Neurospora crassa OR74A: one gene and its partners. The protein of the gene in region 3 interacts with the protein of the main gene of each other region in a pairwise test. Links are inferred from orthologs where the notes say so. Each region holds a gene or a part of one and is shown on either strand. Other genes may lie near its edges.

Region 1 (5,055 bases), on a different chromosome or scaffold from region 3:
CGTGACCTGGTGCCGGCCTTCAGGTTGTTTGTCGACGAAGATGGTTCTGAGCTCGTCCTGGGCGACTTTGGTCGTGGGGTTGAGAGACGAGTGGGAGCGGGGCCCTGACTCTGTGCAGTGACAGGGACCGCAGGGGACGCAGAGGGCGCAGAGGGCGCAGAGGGCGCAGAGAAAGTGGGAGCAGCAGCAGCAGCAGCAGCAGTCGAGGCAGTTGTCATGACGGGCCAACTAGCGGTGTCCAAGCATTGTGCCCCGCGCGCACCCGCTCATATCATAGCGCCGTCCACTCTTTATGACAATTCAGAGCCTGGCAGCTCTTTGAAGCGCGAGAGGCGGAAGACAAGAGAAAATCGTCGAGGTGTGATTGTGCGTGTTGCGCGGTGCAGTGGTTGGTGAACAGGTGGTGCTGGGTGCATGTTGATAGGTAGCGAGTGGTCCGGTCTTGTGTTCCGTCCACGCCTGTCCCGCACCTGTGGTGGATGGCCGGCGACCCCAGCCAACAGCGGCAGTAGCCCAGGTGATAAGGAAGCACCCTGCCGCTTATCAGCCAATACCTGTCCGAAACGGGTAGGCGGTGAGGTTAGCCAAGACCAAGCATGGTCGTTGCCCGTAGCATGGAACCGATCACCCCTTGAAGTCGTCGAGCTTCCCCTGAATGAATGTCAACAAAGCACACACCTTTGACTTACGCAGCTAAGGCGGCACCGCATCCTCGACCGCTTTTAAATTCCTTTAACTCTAGTCAAGTCGGTGCGAGTCATCTTCCAGCATGTGGGTAGTTTTCGTTTCTTACCAAGGATACACACTGCTGCTGGCAGGTTAGGAATCTCCACGCCTGAAGTTTGTTATCGTTGCACTTCGCTTGACAAACGTTGACCGAAATTTACTGCGCGGTGCAAGGTGTTGCGTGAGACGGACAAAAAGTGCTTGAAAAAAAAAAACCGTCTGTCGTCGATGAGGCTCAAGCTGTCATCACCCTTGCCACAGCAGACTGCCGTGACACAAGGCACTTGCTGCATGCGGCCCGAGCCTGACCGTTGCAGATCAGTGCCTCCCTAGGCCCACAACTACGAGATTATCAGACTGTGCAGTCCAAAAGATTTTGAACACACACCTTGGATCCGACATCCGTAACATCCAGCCCGTACCGTTAGAAACGGAAAAGATACCACAAAGTCTTGAAGTGTAAAAAGCCGATATGGTCGTGACAATGCGTTTGTTCGATATTCCTATTATACAGTCTGGGCTCCTAACAGCCCGGTTGCCAACACCTACTACATCTTACAGGATGCAACGACCAGCATACGCATGGCTCATCTATACAGCAATGACGTTGTCTTTGACGGTAGCCTCGTACCTAAAACAAACTCTGTTAGCTCTCGAACCGTATCTAGTTGTGCGGGGGAAAAAAATCAAGAGAGCACCAACCTCTTTCCGCGGAAGGCCCACACACCCCAGTTACCGGCACTGACGTCCTGAGGGTCAAGATCATTCAGATCCCACCGGAGACTGCGGAAGATGTTCTCGCCAGGCTCCATGAGAATGTCGAATTCACCCTTGGCCTTCTTGTTGACCCACTCGACATCACGCTCCATGTCAGCCTGCGTGTAGCCCGTAGCAATGATAGGAGCTTTGGTCTCGAGAAGCATAGGCAGCGTTTCCTCCCATTCGTGGGAGCTTGCCGGGTGGCCCAAACCAGGGTGGAAGAGGACGAAGCAGTCGAAGTAAGGATCGTGAGGAGCGAAATAACCCGTCTTGTGGATAGTATGGTAATAATCCACAATGGTGCTGATCTTCATGGTAGGCCATACGCGATCCTCCACAACCGCACCGTAAGGATTCTCGGGAGTACGAGGCGGGAGGGGAAATTCGTCATCGCGGTTCATCATGCTCTCGGGTCCGATGAAAATCAGATGGAGTCTCGACAGGGGGAAGAGATGGGCCAACTGCACCCAAGCATCTCTAGGCAGCGACGACTCAGCGCGAGCACCGAGAATAAAGACACGCACGGGGGGCGCCTCAGGCCGAAGACCCTTGATAGACTCGTTGCCTCCAGTTTTGGGAGGATGCAGGGTATAGCGAAGTGCCGTCAAACTCTTTAAGCCCTCGACCGTGAGGCGATTCCGGATGTGGTACGGGCTCAACTCGTGAAGAACGCTGCCGATCGTGAGAGGATAGGTCAACAACCTAGTCGCCTGTCTCATGCACCGGTCATCGTTGACAGCTTCGAACTGACGGGTATACATGAACGTGTCCCAGTTGGTCATGTTGACCATGGCATCATCCATTTGCGGACCGGCGTAGTTGAACTCGTAGAAGTGGCGGCCTGAATGGAGGTCATGGTCATCTTCATTGATCTGCCGCAGAGTGTCGCATATCTCGAGATGTTTCTCATAGTCGTCCATCCAATGCTGCTCGCTGCAATATACCGGGATGCCACAGTCAGGGCACTCGAAATCGACGTGCTTCGGCGGCTGGGAGCCAGACTCGGTATCGACTTGGCGGTTGGTCTCGGAGAACTGCCCTGGGCGGTGGCTATGGTGGGGGCAGCTGGCGTGCTGTCTTATGAAGGCCGCGCGCTGGCGGATCTTGGGGATGGGCGAGTTGGTGAAGGAGTGGAAGAGGTTGTCCTGCTCGAGAATCGGCTTCGAGGGGATACCACTACCGGCCAGATCCTCGTTGGTGGCAAACGATGTCGAGCTGCTGGCCTTGGTTCTGGACTGGGCAGCAACGGAAGGAAGCTTGCTTGTGATCGAAGCCTGGATCGGACGCGAAATGGTTCTGGTGATGCCGCCGACTTGCGTCGAAGACGAGGAAGAGCTCTGTGCCCCTCGGATGGAGCTGACGGAGCGTTGCTGGGCTGACTGCAAAAACGCAGCACTTTGCCTGCTCTGTCTAGCTGTGAAAGTCGAGCATTGCGAGCAAAGCTTGGACAAGGCCGGACGCACGGCGCGGTCTGCTGGGAGGGCCATTGGGAGTTCAAGAGGTCGGATGATGTTCGATCGGGAATCTGGATCGCCGGGACTCGATGCGACTTTCCAATTGACTTTTTGGCAGCAGCTCCCAGCAATCCGGGGTCCTCTCCCACCGACCCGACTCGCTACCTACCTCTACTGTGCCTAAGTGCCTAGGCGGGTCCCGTCCATCGAATGACCCACTTTGTTCTTGCTTCACCAGCCACAATTGTGCCTAGGTAAGCTCCGTCTGACGTTACGTATGCGGGTCAGAGAGCTACGAGCAAGCCACAGTCGCGAGGCGGGAAGATGAGTGGGCGGCGTCTACGACCTACCGTGGACCGAGTCCGACGTACCGCTGCAACCTGAGTGACTGGACTGCACCAATTGGCCAGAAATACCATCGACGGCAACCGACTCCATCTACCTCGCCAGAGTGCCAGAACACTGGACCGTGTTTCATTTTTTTTTGCCGTGTTACAATCATCTACTCGATATTCAACTCTAGATTTTCGACAATCTGGCTGACTTTCGCGCATTGGTCTTCTCAACATAACGACGGCAGCATTGACAGAGCACAACCGAGTCCTACCCACTTGCAAAAACAACCTCGAGAAAGCAGAGCCGCGCCGGCTGTCTGCGCCCAGTTGCAGCCATGGCGACTACGTCGAACATGTTCCTGTATTCCTTGACCATCCAGCCACCCACCGCTGTCACGCAGGCTCTGCTTGGTCAGTTCTCGGGAACCAAGGAACAGCAGATTCTTACGGCGTCTGGATCGCGTCTAACCCTCCTTCAGCCTGATCCCCGTCAGGGCAAGGTCAACACCCTGTTGTCTCATGACATCTTCGGCATCGTACGCGCCATCGCGTCGTTCCGTCTGGCCGGCAGCCACAAGGGTGAGTAACCTCCCCGCCACCTCCTGTGTTGGGCAATATAGTGATTCTGGATCCGTTCCCCAGGTGCTTCTGGGTAGAGGGGCCACACGTATGGTCACGCACCATGCACCCAGGCCTACGAGTCTTCTGGGGACTTGAGAGACTCATTCAAATCGGTAGCGGGATTGTGCTAAAACCCTGTGCCACCCAGACTACATTATCCTCGCCACTGATTCGGGCCGCATTACGATTATCGAGTATCTCCCCAAGACGAACAAGTTTCAGCGCATCCACCTCGAGACTTTCGGCAAATCGGGCGTCCGCCGAGTCATCCCCGGCCAGTACTTAGCCGCAGATCCAAAGGGAAGAGCATGCCTCATTTCGGCACTCGAAAAGAACAAGCTGGTCTATGTTCTCAACCGAAACTCACAGGCCGAGCTTACCATCTCGTCACCACTGGAAGCCCACAAGCCAGGCGTGTTGGTGCTGTCTCTTGTTGCCCTTGACGTTGGTTACGCAAACCCCGTTTTCGCTGCGTTGGAACTGGACTACACGGACGCGGACCAAGATCCTACGGGCCAAGCACGAGAAGAAGTCGAGACACAGCTGGTATATTACGAGCTTGATCTGGGCCTGAACCACGTTGTACGCAAGTGGTCAGATACTGTCGATCGCACTTCTTCACTTCTCTTCCAAGTACCCGGCGGCAATGACGGTCCCAGCGGTGTCTTGGTGTGCGGCGAGGAAAATGTCACCTATCGGCACTCGAATCAAGAGGCTTTCCGCGTCCCCATCCCTAGACGCAGCGGTGCCACCGAAGATCCTCAGAGGAAGCGGGTTATCGTCTCTGGCGTTATGCACAAGCTCAAGGGAAGCGCGGGCGCCTTTTTCTTCCTTCTTCAGACGGACGATGGAGATCTCTTCAAAGTCACCATTGACATGATCGAAGATAGTGACGGCAACCCCACCGGAGAGGTCAAGCGCCTCAAGATCAAGTACTTCGACACGATACCAGTAGCCACTAGTCTTTGCATCCTGAAGAGCGGCTTCCTGTTCGCCGCTAGCGAGTTTGGAAACCATCACTTTTACCAATTTGAAAAGCTCGGAGACGATGACGAGGAGCTCGAGTTCAGCAGCGACGACTTCCCGACAGACCCTACCGCCTCATATAACCCGGTGTACTTCCACCCCAGGCCACTTGAAAATCTGGTCCTGGTTGAGAG
Region 2 (5,352 bases), on a different chromosome or scaffold from region 3:
GGGGACACGTCGGAGGAGTTGACCTTTGACATATCCACGCGGAGTAGGTATGGAGATGAGGACGACGAGGAGGAGGAGTTGCCTAAGAGGCCGAGACTCAGCTTGGGCTTAGGGGTGGGGGATGGGGAGGGCGATGATTGGGAAGATGATGATGAACTGCCGCAACCACATCGGAGTGCAGGACTCGAAGATCTGACGGAGAACTTTACGGTGCAGAGTATCGAGTTGCCGAGACGGGTGGATCCGGAGAAGGATCAACAAAGGATGAGGGATTCGATGGGGCGGTTGAGTGATTTCCCGCAGCTACAGCAACAACAACAACAGAGTGATGGGATCGATTCGGGGTTCTTTCCGCCTGCTGCAATTGATGAGGACGACTTTGGAAATGCCGAGGATAGGATACCGGATGAGTTTAGCAGGCTGGACTCGGACGAGACGAGGAGACGGGAGACGATAGGTGGGGAAGGAGGGATGGGGCTGCTGCTGGGAGCTGGAGGGAGGGATAGTGATTTCCACATTGAGGTGCCGGTGGGGATGGACGAGAGCACGTTTATGATTGCTTCGCCTACGAGGCAGTTTGAGATGGGTCAAGCTGCTGAAGCGGCGGCAACAAGCGGCCAAGGTGGAGGTTTCGCGGAGTTGATGGACCAGAGGAGCGACAGTTACGACAACAATGACGATGACGGAAATGATGTTGGACCAGCATACGACGATTATGATAACGACGACGGTATGGCCATGGATCTGGATAACAACCAAGACGACCAGGGCCAGGCAGGCTCGGATGAGGAGATGACGAGATTATCAGGCTACACACCAACGGCGGCGAGGGTATCACTTTCAGCTTCGGCGGCGCGGGAGAAACTCGGATTGTTTCGGGAAGAGGGTGGTGAACGAGGGGGCTTCTCCAAGATCAAAGCCACCAAAAAGATCTCCAAACACGGCATCGAGTACACATCATTACCTCCGGCCATGATCAAGCGGCTGGCGCAAACATTCGCCAAGACGAGCGGCGCGAAGGGAAACATCTCGCCTGAGGCGCTCAAGGCAATCATGCAGGCTTCGGACTGGTTCTTTGAGCAGTTGGGAGATGACTTGTCGGCGTACGCAAAGCACGCCCATCGCAAAACTATCGATATGAGTGATATGCTTACATTGATGAAGAGGTATGTTTTGGCGCTTTTGCTTTGATCCCTGGGTATCCGATTGTTTATATCCTGTGTAGTGTTCTTTGTACACTTTTTTCGAGCTATTGTACACGACGGACTGACTTACATTTTTGTTTCCATAGACAACGTCAAACCAACGCACAAACCACGCCGTTTGCCTTGGCGCAACGATACCTTCCCAGAGAGCTCCTCCAGGAACTGAGGATGACGCCGCCTGTTCCGGTCAAGAAGCGCCGAAAGGCTGCCTCTTCTAGCCGTGCTGGGGTTGGCGGCGAAGACGAAGAGGTGACGTGAGAGTGTTTGTTACCATTGATGTGTGACAAAGCAAAGCTATCACTGCCCACTCACAAACTCATGTTTACCAGCTCTTGTTCATGCGAACGCGCTTGGTAATCTGGTTCGCAGGCTTCTTGACCACGAGCCAGAACATGATGGAGGTGGCAGCAGCGAGACCGTACCTAAGTACCAGTTAGTCGGGCACTGATATGCGATACCGCAGGGGTACGTCAAGAATTGGAAGGAGGTGAAGCATCGCTTAAGAACATACCAAGTAAAGATGTACTGCGCATGGTTGTTGCGAAGGTTGACCTCGGCGACTCTACCGATAGGGATACCACGCGCCTCGTAGTCATAGACGGTGATAATATCGGGAACTGCGCACAAACATACGTTAGTACCATACCTAGCTAGAATAGCCATCATACCATTATAGGACGCAGGCCAGGCCAGCCACGTCCAAAACTGGCAGAGAAGAAAACAGAGATACCCACCAATAGTCTGCTCAATCCACACCGGCTGACTGCCCGTCAACTCGGCCATCTGCTTCACATCCGGGAAATAAAACTCGCCAATATCCGGCCTGTTGTCCGGCGTGAACATATTCTTCTTCCACGGCTCTCTCAGCATGCCCTCCACACGGACCTTTTCGCCCTGCTTGACGGAATCCGGCCTGCTCCTCTGGTCCGCAAACTTCTTACTCACCCACCCTCTGTTGACCAACACCTTGGAGCTCGGATCATCTCCCCTCTCCAGGGGCGTAACAACCATGTACCCTTGTTCGCCGTCGCGCATGCGCGGGCCGATCAGCATCTCTTGGTCGTGTCGGTAGACGCCCTCGGCGTAGACGCGGCGGTAGTCGAAGTCGGCGATGGCGGCCGGGTCCACGCGGGGGGGAAGGGGGAGAGGGTCCCGGATGATGCGGTCCTCGCATTTGGCGATCAGGTCCGTCTTCCATTTTAGTCGGTAGACTTGCCAGGTTCCGAGAAAGAGGGCAGTGATGGGGATGATGGCTGTGGGGAGGAGGAGGAGGAGGAGGAGGTAAATGCGTTAGTCAGTGTTACGGCTGCATAGCGCATGCTGAGATTGTAGATGGTTGGGACTCAATCAGGACATACCCAGGATAATCAACCCCTTGCCATGTCTCCTGCCGGTCCGCACAAGCTCGGGAGGGTTATCGAGGATGGAAGTAAAGTTGGGATCATCGCCGGGTTGTTGAGTCTGTCGGCGTGTGGACGAGGTGGTGAATTGGCGGCGGGGACTAGAGGCAGGGTTTCTGCCGAGTCTAGCTGTCGTGAATCGCGTCGCAGCTGCTGCGTGGGCTGCTGCTGTTTGTCTTTGGAGGATTATCCTCTTTCCCAAGCTCTGTTGCGACGTGCGCAGGAGGCACTGGAATATGCTCCCGCTGGCCGCCATTGTCCGTTCGTTCGTTTCGTCGGTCGGTTGATCGATCGGCCGAAGAGGTAGATAGGTACTGTAGGTAGTTATGTGGTGGTGACTGAGAGAACGAATCGGAGGCTGCTGCTAACAACGACAACAACAACAACGAGCAACCATAAACAGCGGCATGTGACGAAAATGGAGCTGGGGAAAGATGCGGACAAACTTCGTCATTTGCCGGACACAGGAAAGTTCTCGGTGGAGCTGCTGTTTTGCTCCGATCAAAGTCCAATTCTGGGCGATGCCCCGCTGCCGCTGGTGGTGGTGGGTGTGGGTGTGGGGCGTTTCCATCCGAATGGCCGGGGCCGCTGGGTGCAGTTCCTGAGCGCCGCCCCACCAATGCTTGGCACCAGGGGTCGTGTAAGTGATGGATGGTTGCTAAGGGACCGTGGGGGTCATTTTGAAGACGGACGACAAACACCTTGATGGTCCATAGATGTGAGATTCACCAGGCTGTGTGTTACTTGGGACTGTCGGTGGTGTACAACTCTAGTCTTCAGATTCGTTTGCTGATTTGAATGTAAAGTGGAAGCCTTGCTTCTGGGGCTGTGCTGATGATTAGCCACCCCTCCTGATTTCGCAGTGAAGCACCTGAATGCAGCTTCAAAACAAGGTAAGGCAGGCCAGGTCCGGAAGATAAAAAAAAAAAGAAATAATAATAAATACTTCCAGGTGCTTCTTCACGGGCATAGAGCAGGCCCCGTTTTGGGGCTTCATACCTAAGAGGTAACCCGCTCGTGTGTATCAAAGCAAGACTTCTTACTGCTTTCTCAAACCACTTGAAAACTAAGGAAACCACTTCAGGCTCGAAAGAAAGTGCACTTTCCATCTTCTGCTTCCCGCTCGCTACCTAGGTAATCACAAACCTAACCCAACATCGATCCGCCCAACCTCTAGTAGCCTGCCCTCCTTCGTTTTACTTGACATCAACAACACTATCAAATACTCGGTACTATATACCACATCCATAAGTACAGAGCTGCTCGACTCAAGAAACGCCCAAGATGTCTTCTCCAGGGGCTGGCAGCCTCAGCACCCTGTCGAGCTACGCCTCCTCCGCACCCGATCATCAAGGGCAACACGCCATCGGCCTTCCACTTCCCGCTACGGCTCAACCTACCACAGCCAGAACTACTACTACACTGCCGCCAGTGTCTCCATCATCTACTGCCAACGCAACCAACTTCCTCACCAACAACTCCTCAACCCCCTCCAACAATATCAACAACAACAACAACAACAACAACAACACCCCCAACCTCCTCAATCCAACACGCACAGCCACAATCAACTTCAACCTTCTCCCCGAGCTCGAAACCGGGCTCGACATCGACAGGCTCAACTACCTCTGCCAAAAGCAACAGTTCATAACCACCACCTCTACCGACAAACAGCCAGAAGAGGAAGAAGAGCCAGAAGAACTTGGTTGGAAGGATGCATACGAAGTCATGATCAAAGTTCCCCTCCAGGGTCTTGCGGCGTGGGCGAGAAGGTGGAGAAGGGCTAGAACTGAGAGGGGGCAGGGGATGGTGTAAGGAAGGGGACAGACAGAAACTCGCATGGCTTCGTCGACTGGAGAAGAAGTTGGCGTGTAATTAGGTAACTACTTAACCAACAGACCAACGGATTTGGCATTGCGCGACGAACAGAATATGGGGTTTCAGTTTCATCATTGGGAAGAACGAGGAGTGGACAAGGCAGAGAATTGGATTACGGGCAACCGCATTAGCACTTTTTGTTGTTGTTTTTTTCCGCCGCCCTGGCAAGGGTAGAGAGACAGGCTCAGCGAAAGATGATGATCTTACCTTACTAGCAGCACAATAACATCATGACAATAGTATCACCCATCAACCCAAGCGAGCTAGCAGTGGTCAGACATATATGTCTGCTAACAGTTTCTGTGTAAAACAAGTTGAAATGGTATTTGCCCAAGGAGCGTACCTAGTCAGTTATTTGCTTAATGTGCGTGACAATCTGGTGTAGCTTGACCATCCATCTCAGCCTTCCGCTGCCACAAATCGTATGGTATCTCACGTATGGTATCATCCTTTCTCCCTTCCTGACTTCCTTCCTGATTTCCTTCCTGACTTCCTCTCATCCTGTTGTTTCGGAACGGCATGCCGAACACTCGAGTCGAGTCAATCTTCACTTCTTGACCTCCCCCTCCTCAGCAACCTTGGCATCCTCATAAGCCGGGGGCGCCTCAACCTCAGCCTCGGGCTCCTGCGCATTCAACAAACCAGCCTTCTCTTCAACAGGGGCCTCAGCTTCGTCTTTGCCGTGGCGCTGGGCACGCTTGCAACCAGCACCACCGCGGCGACGGCACTTTTGACCGTTGCAGCCACCACGACGGTAGAAAAAGCGGTAGAGAGCGACGATGAGGGTTCCGACGGCCATGCCGATGCTGTTTCATGATGTTAGCGATCGTTCGAACAGGGAAAGGGGGGAAAGCGGAAATGAAAACGTA
Region 3 (5,521 bases):
AAGCTCTGATACCCATCTTGGCGGCTATATATAATATATTCCTTTCAAACTATAGTACCACTGAGATCATCTTTGTTACTCATATGTCGACACTCTTCCATCCATCTACCTCTTTTGAGCAAGACCCTTTGTTTACTAATGAATTGACATCGGTTATGACATCTCGACCGTACCGCTCAAGTGACCACAATCACAAATCCCTTATGTTCCCCAACTTGAAAGCCCACATCAGGCTACCAAGTGAGCGGACTCATGCGGTCGTTCTTCAAATGGCTGTTCTGTCTTCCTACCCCTCGACCTCCTGAAACTCAACAGCTCCACGATGACGAGGACCATGAGAATGAAACCAAGAATCATGAAGGGAATAAGGTTGTAGCGCCATCCGCGCATGGTTCTCAATTTCTTCTTCAGTATGTCGTGATCGTCGCTGTGGACAAGTGATAGACTGTTGACCAGCGTATACCAGTTCTCCGGGGTCCAAGAGTCCCGTGGGTACGGCTTCGGAGCACTGCCTTCTGCGTAGGCGAGGTCGATACCCTGATCCGAATGCTTGTTGGTCAGGACATAGGTATAGATCAGAGCCGTGAGAGTAAGAAGCCAGCTGAGAATCGTGATAAGGGCCCAGAGATAGTAGAATGGCGATGTTTTCCCGTACTGCCACAAGGTTAGTACCATAGACGCACACTGCACAATGATTCTACGAGAATGAACACATACCTTTGCCCTGGACCTATGCTCCAACCACAAAGCTAGGAGGCCACCGAACCCTACAAGGACGACGCCCGTACCTCCTGCTGCATTTGTCGTGTGGCCGTGGTCCGTCAAAAGATGTGCAGGTTCTCCGGGAAGGTCGAAGACCGAACCAAGTCGTCGGACCTCGAATGGTTGGCCGCCGCGTCCATGAAGAAATGCCACCATTGACGAGACAAGGGATAATGAGATGGCTGCGTCAACGTAAAGCAAAAACAAAGCCACATAGATGGCTTTCATGAGCCTGCTTGAAGCCATTGTGAACGAATCCCACTAGGGCTGAGGGAATAGAAGAGCTTAACAGTGTGAAGAAGGACAAGAACAGTTGGGGTCTTGATATGGCAAAGTGCAATGTGGTTGGGGCCTGTCCAAGTTACCCCAGATATTGACAACAGCGCCAGCCGTCTTATATGAGAGCGGACCGACTGCGGTCGTGCCGGTGTGTCTTTTCTCTCGTTGGGCGAAAGGCCTTCTCTCAGCCGTCTTTGGGGACGCGGATTGGGTCCCATTTCCAAATGTGGTGGTTGTCAGCTTGTCCACACGTAAGCACACAAAACTGACACTGCCTCTTCATGATGTGCAGTGAGATTGGCTCGACCGGGTACGTACTTCTCTTCTTTGTTCCAAAGGAGGGATATCACTGCGTATGCCCAGCCAACGCCACGAGAACCCTTCCATATGAGAGATGCCTAGTCTGCAGCATGGAACTGCCACGCGCTGATCCGTGGAAGCAAAGCATCCAGCACGAGGCTCGGCTCGCTTCGCAAGGTTGTAACCCGTTTTGTGGCTATACACAACAGAGCTTGCCTTGTCAGATATGGGATATTGTGACGTCCTGTACCGACGAATACTATTCTTTGTTGGGAGTTATTCGAGGCCGGTCGCAACCTTGAGAGTAAAAAGAGTCCAGTCCCCACTGGAGGATAGAAATTGACCGTGTCTCACGGCATATGGCGTTGAAGCCAACTGCATCATAGGCGGACAGGAAGAGACCATACTTCTCAGCCCGGTGGAATAGTAGCGCCACGCTTTGAAGGTAAGAGCCAAAATAGGAAACTTGCCTCTCGGCCATCGTCATTAGGCATATAAGCAGAGAAATGCTGAACGATACAGCAACAGAACCACAGTTCATGGATTGGCAAGCTAACCGGCAACTCAACAGGAGTTTATCCTGTTTTCTTCTTCTTCTTGAACCTGGGACAACGAAGGACAAAGAAATGATGCATTTGCAACTTCTGAACAGAACGGGATAGTCTCATCGAGAAAAAAAAAAGAACATAAAAAGCCCCCAAATATCGCGGTGCCGACAAGGGCTGTTTGGAGGAAGCATTTAACACAACCCCGAGATTCTCTCGTCAACTCCTAACCCTCACCAGCCACCCCGACAGCTGGGTACTTGCTGCTACAAGAATATTGCCCAAAGGCTATGCACTGATCAAATCGTAGTGGGGTGGTCGACGTAGTGCCGCCCCACTGCCTATCGATAAACGAGTTATCGTAGGAATCGTCGCCAGGGCAGCTTCCATTTGGTAGGTAGGTCGGGTAGCTTTAGTGTACGGGACGAACTCCAGAAGCTTGTGTCAACACATCCTCCCGTCCCGTCCCTCCCCATCGTTCGTCTGAAAAATAACCTTCACACGAAAGTACACATATCATTCACACACACATAAACACACACAATGCTCTCTAGGATAACACAACGTATGGCGCTAAAGAGGGCGCTGGCGAGGCCTTCCCCTTGCGCCAAGGGCCGCGCTCAACCCCAGAGGAGATCTCTCACATCGGCACCCAGGCCTGGCGATGGTCCGTTGATGGAGAGGCGAGCTGATCGTGAACTTCCTGGTATGTTCTCCCCGTGTCTCTTCTTCTTCTTCTTCTCTTCTCTGTGTTCTGTATTTCCTGCTGTTTCCGCACCCCAATTGAGTTCCTTAGTACCATGGAAGTTACTGACCCCTCTTCCCTTTGCAACCACAAAAACAGATGTCCAAACCTCCCGCTTCCGCTGGTCCCGCACCTTCCCCATCTTCTTGGGCATCGTAGCCGCCACCTCGATCGCAATCTTCAACTACCAGAAACTCTCTTCCCCCGTGGTCGAGTCAACCCTCTATGCGCTGCGCACGAACCAGCGCGCGCGCGAGTACCTGGGTGACGAGATCTACTTCAAGGCGCAGATTCCGTGGATCTCGGGCGAGATGAACCAGCTGCACGGCCGCATCGACATCAAGTTCAATGTCAAGGGCACCAAGCGCACGGGCGTGATGCGCTTCGCCAGCTTCCGGCCCACGCCCCGAGGCATGTTCGAGACGACCGAGTGGAGTCTGGAGACGGAGGACGGCAAGGTCATTGACCTGCTGGAGGAGGGCGATCCGTTCAGAGCTATCAACGGCCGTGCGATGGAACCTGAGCTGGATGATGATGCAGAGGATGCGAAGGTCAGGGGTTTCAGGCAGATGCCCAAGTAATTGTTTTGGGGTGCTCTTAAGGAGGGAATAGTTTTGAAAAAAGGGAGGATATATATGGGAACCGGGGAAGGTGGTGGTCCCCCTCTCCCCCTCTCAAACAGGATGAGCTGAAGGACAGGATCGTGGTCTGGCTCTCTGATTGAATACCCGAAGGCTGTCAAGGAGGAATATGTGTAAGATATAGGGAGAGAACATACGAACCTATCACGGGCAAGGGTTGTATGTTCAAGTTGTTATACATTTTCGGTAGCTGTACATTTTAACACCCCACGATGCGTGTGTATCATACAAGAGAGAACTAAAAAAAATGAGAAACCGGGAAGGCTTTACCATACATTCCCTTCCATAAACCTAGTACAAACACATACTACAGACCAGAGACAGCCCCCCTCTCTTAAGCCGAAGCTTCTACCGCAGCATTTCCATCCGCCTTCTCTGTCAGCCCATTCTTGATGAGCGAATCTATCAGGCCCTGTCTCCTCGCCTCCTTGAGCTCCAAGTGCAACTTCCTCGCCGCCTGCAACTTCTCCTCCGCATCAGGGAACCGCTCGTTGAGGAGCTGCTTGGTGGCCTCGACAAACTCCTCCGGGGGAGGAGCCTTCTTGACAGCATCCTGAACCTTGACAACCGCACCCTTGTGACCAGCGACCGCGCCCTTGACCACCACGATGCCGAGCTCGTTGTCCACCATCAGAATGGGCAGGTTCTGGACCGTGTGCTGCTGCGCGCCCATGCGACCGGGCATCTTCTTGCCGGGCAACACACGCGAACCGGAGCCCTGCGAACCACCGACGGAACCAATGGTACGGTGGTTCAGCGAGTTACCGTGCGACGCCTCCTGACCGGCGAAGCCGTGACGCTTCATACCACCGGCAAAACCCATACCGCGCGTGATGCCGCGCACGTCCACCACCTGGCCGACGTGGAACCAGTCCGGAAACAGCTGGACGCCGACCGGCAACAAGCCGTCCTGGTTGCGCACCTTGAACTCGGCGAGCGTCTGCTTGGGCGGGATGCCCTTGGCCTCGTAGTAGCCGAGCTGCGGGGCGCCCACGTTTTCGGCGCGGCGCTCGCCCAGGCCAACCTGGACGGCCCAGTAGCCGTTCTTGGCGCGCGTCTTGTTGGCGACGACTTGGACCCGGTCGAGCTGCAGAACGGTGCAGGGGATGCGGGCGCCGGTGCGGCCCATGAAGACGGTCATGCCCTTCTTGACAGCGAGCACGCCGGTGCGCAGGGGTGTAGTCTTCTCGCGGCGCTTGAGGGCAGCGGCCGGGCCCGAGGTGGGCGCCGGAAGACCCTGCGTCACTTGGTTGAATCGTGTGGGCCTGCTGCGCTTCGGGAGCGTGCTCCAGCCGTACTTGACGCCGCGCTTTGTGATCTGAGGGAGGAGGGAGGGAAAGACAGTCGATGGCGAGGAGGCGGAGAAGGTGGGTGTGGTCCGGCCGGCGAGGAGGAGGGAGCTGGCGGCGGCGGTGGTTGTGGTGTGGGTGGCTGACCTCTCGACGAGGGAGAGCTGCCTCCAGCAGCGCGCGGGCAGCCGGGGCGCCATCGTGTATGTGTATAAGTCTGAGGGGAGGGTTGGGTGGTGTTGTGTTGCTTTTGGTGGGGTTGGTCGCAGTCAATTGGACCTGACGGTGTTCGTTGTATCGATGTCGGGGCCCCGGAGCGTCGAGTGGGGGGAATGGAAAGGACACCGGCTGTCTTCGAGACGCGAACCGGAGGGGGCGGAGTTGGGAGGTCGTTTCGGCGCGCGGCCGTTGAGGTGGTTTTGGGGCGGGTGCGGGAGTGGTGGTCGCCGGCTCGAAGCACGGAGCAGCAGAAATTTGATAGCCACTCAGAAATTCAGTAACGGGATGCTCCCCCCCCGATAACGTCGATCGGTTCGGCATCCGGGGATTCACAATTGACAGGGGAGGGGCGGCTATTCACAGGCGGGTACTATGTATTTGGCGGATTGTGGTGTACAGAGTGTGACATCTCTACAAGAAGGGTTAGGGTTAATTGCTTCTTTCTATTCACTTAGGTAGTTTTACTTCCGCTGGAGTGCGGGCGCATTTTACCGCATTGGATCCCCCAAACTCAACCGCTAAAACATCTTCACTCGAACCACCACCACACAGCCCCAGAGAAGAAATCGCGTTTTTGCATCTTGGTTTCCCTTCTTGCACGAAGTGTCTTTTTCATTGTCGCCGTTTTGAGATACCCAATATTCCCATCTTTCATTTCTTCCAAAGGCATCAGCAACCATGGTCTTCTATTTCACTTCGACCGTCGTCAGTCCCCCGGCTTTCATTTATGTGGGGAAAGAC

What was found.
Region 1: the proteins of NCU06748 (region 3) and NCU00395 interact in binary tests that used the Saccharomyces cerevisiae proteins (3 or more experiments, as listed by UniProt). The link is inferred for Neurospora crassa OR74A from reciprocal best matches to the Saccharomyces cerevisiae genes COA1 and MSS51.
Region 2: the proteins of NCU06748 (region 3) and NCU02162 interact in binary tests that used the Saccharomyces cerevisiae proteins (3 or more experiments, as listed by UniProt). The link is inferred for Neurospora crassa OR74A from reciprocal best matches to the Saccharomyces cerevisiae genes COA1 and SHY1.

The regions. Positions count from the first base shown.
Region 1 is NC_026503.1:3,705,171-3,710,225, forward strand, and holds NCU00395 (mRNA processing protein), read right to left. Parts: upstream 3,106-5,055; 5' UTR 2,973-3,105; coding exon 1,429-2,972; intron 1,358-1,428; coding exon 1,318-1,357; 3' UTR 1,118-1,317; downstream 1-1,117. Other genes in the region: NCU16682 (PXA domain-containing protein), read right to left, coding at 1-218; NCU00396 (pre-mRNA-splicing factor rse-1), read left to right, coding at 3,610-3,853, 4,044-5,055. UniProt on the Saccharomyces cerevisiae protein: Has a dual role in the assembly of cytochrome oxidase subunit 1 (COX1). It has a regulative function on COX1 synthesis, acting as a translational activator specific for the COX1 mRNA, and it also binds to newly synthesized COX1 protein.
Region 2 is NC_026501.1:1,040,185-1,045,536, reverse strand, and holds the start of NCU02162 (SURF-family protein), read right to left. Parts: upstream 3,291-5,352; 5' UTR 2,862-3,290; coding exon 2,564-2,861; intron 2,459-2,563; coding exon 1,940-2,458; exon of another isoform or gene 1,823-1,939; coding exon 1,717-1,822; exon of another isoform or gene 1,628-1,716; coding exon 1,528-1,627; 3' UTR 1,464-1,527; coding exon of another isoform or gene 1,292-1,463; 3' UTR 1,167-1,291; coding exon of another isoform or gene 1-1,166. Other genes in the region: CEN-T, read left to right, coding at 1-1,166, 1,292-1,463; NCU02163 (hypothetical protein), read left to right, coding at 3,890-4,420; NCU02164 (hypothetical protein), read right to left, coding at 5,031-5,289. UniProt on the Saccharomyces cerevisiae protein: Required for efficient assembly of cytochrome c oxidase in the mitochondrial inner membrane. Involved in a step that couples MSS51-COX14-dependent regulation of COX1 translation to early steps of cytochrome c oxidase assembly.
Region 3 is NC_026502.1:2,067,047-2,072,567, reverse strand, and holds NCU06748 (hypothetical protein), read left to right. Parts: upstream 1-2,266; 5' UTR 2,267-2,429; coding exon 2,430-2,592; intron 2,593-2,730; coding exon 2,731-3,212; 3' UTR 3,213-3,606; coding exon of another isoform or gene 3,607-4,761; 3' UTR 4,762-4,888; downstream 4,889-5,521. Other genes in the region: NCU06747 (hypothetical protein), read right to left, coding at 229-654, 718-1,008; NCU06749 (mitochondrial 54S ribosomal protein YmL9), read right to left, coding at 3,607-4,761; NCU06750 (coiled-coil domain-containing protein 25), read left to right, coding at 5,459-5,521. UniProt on the Saccharomyces cerevisiae protein: Required for efficient assembly of cytochrome c oxidase in the mitochondrial inner membrane. Involved in a step coupling MSS51-dependent cotranslational insertion of COX1 to the addition of its heme A and copper B cofactors.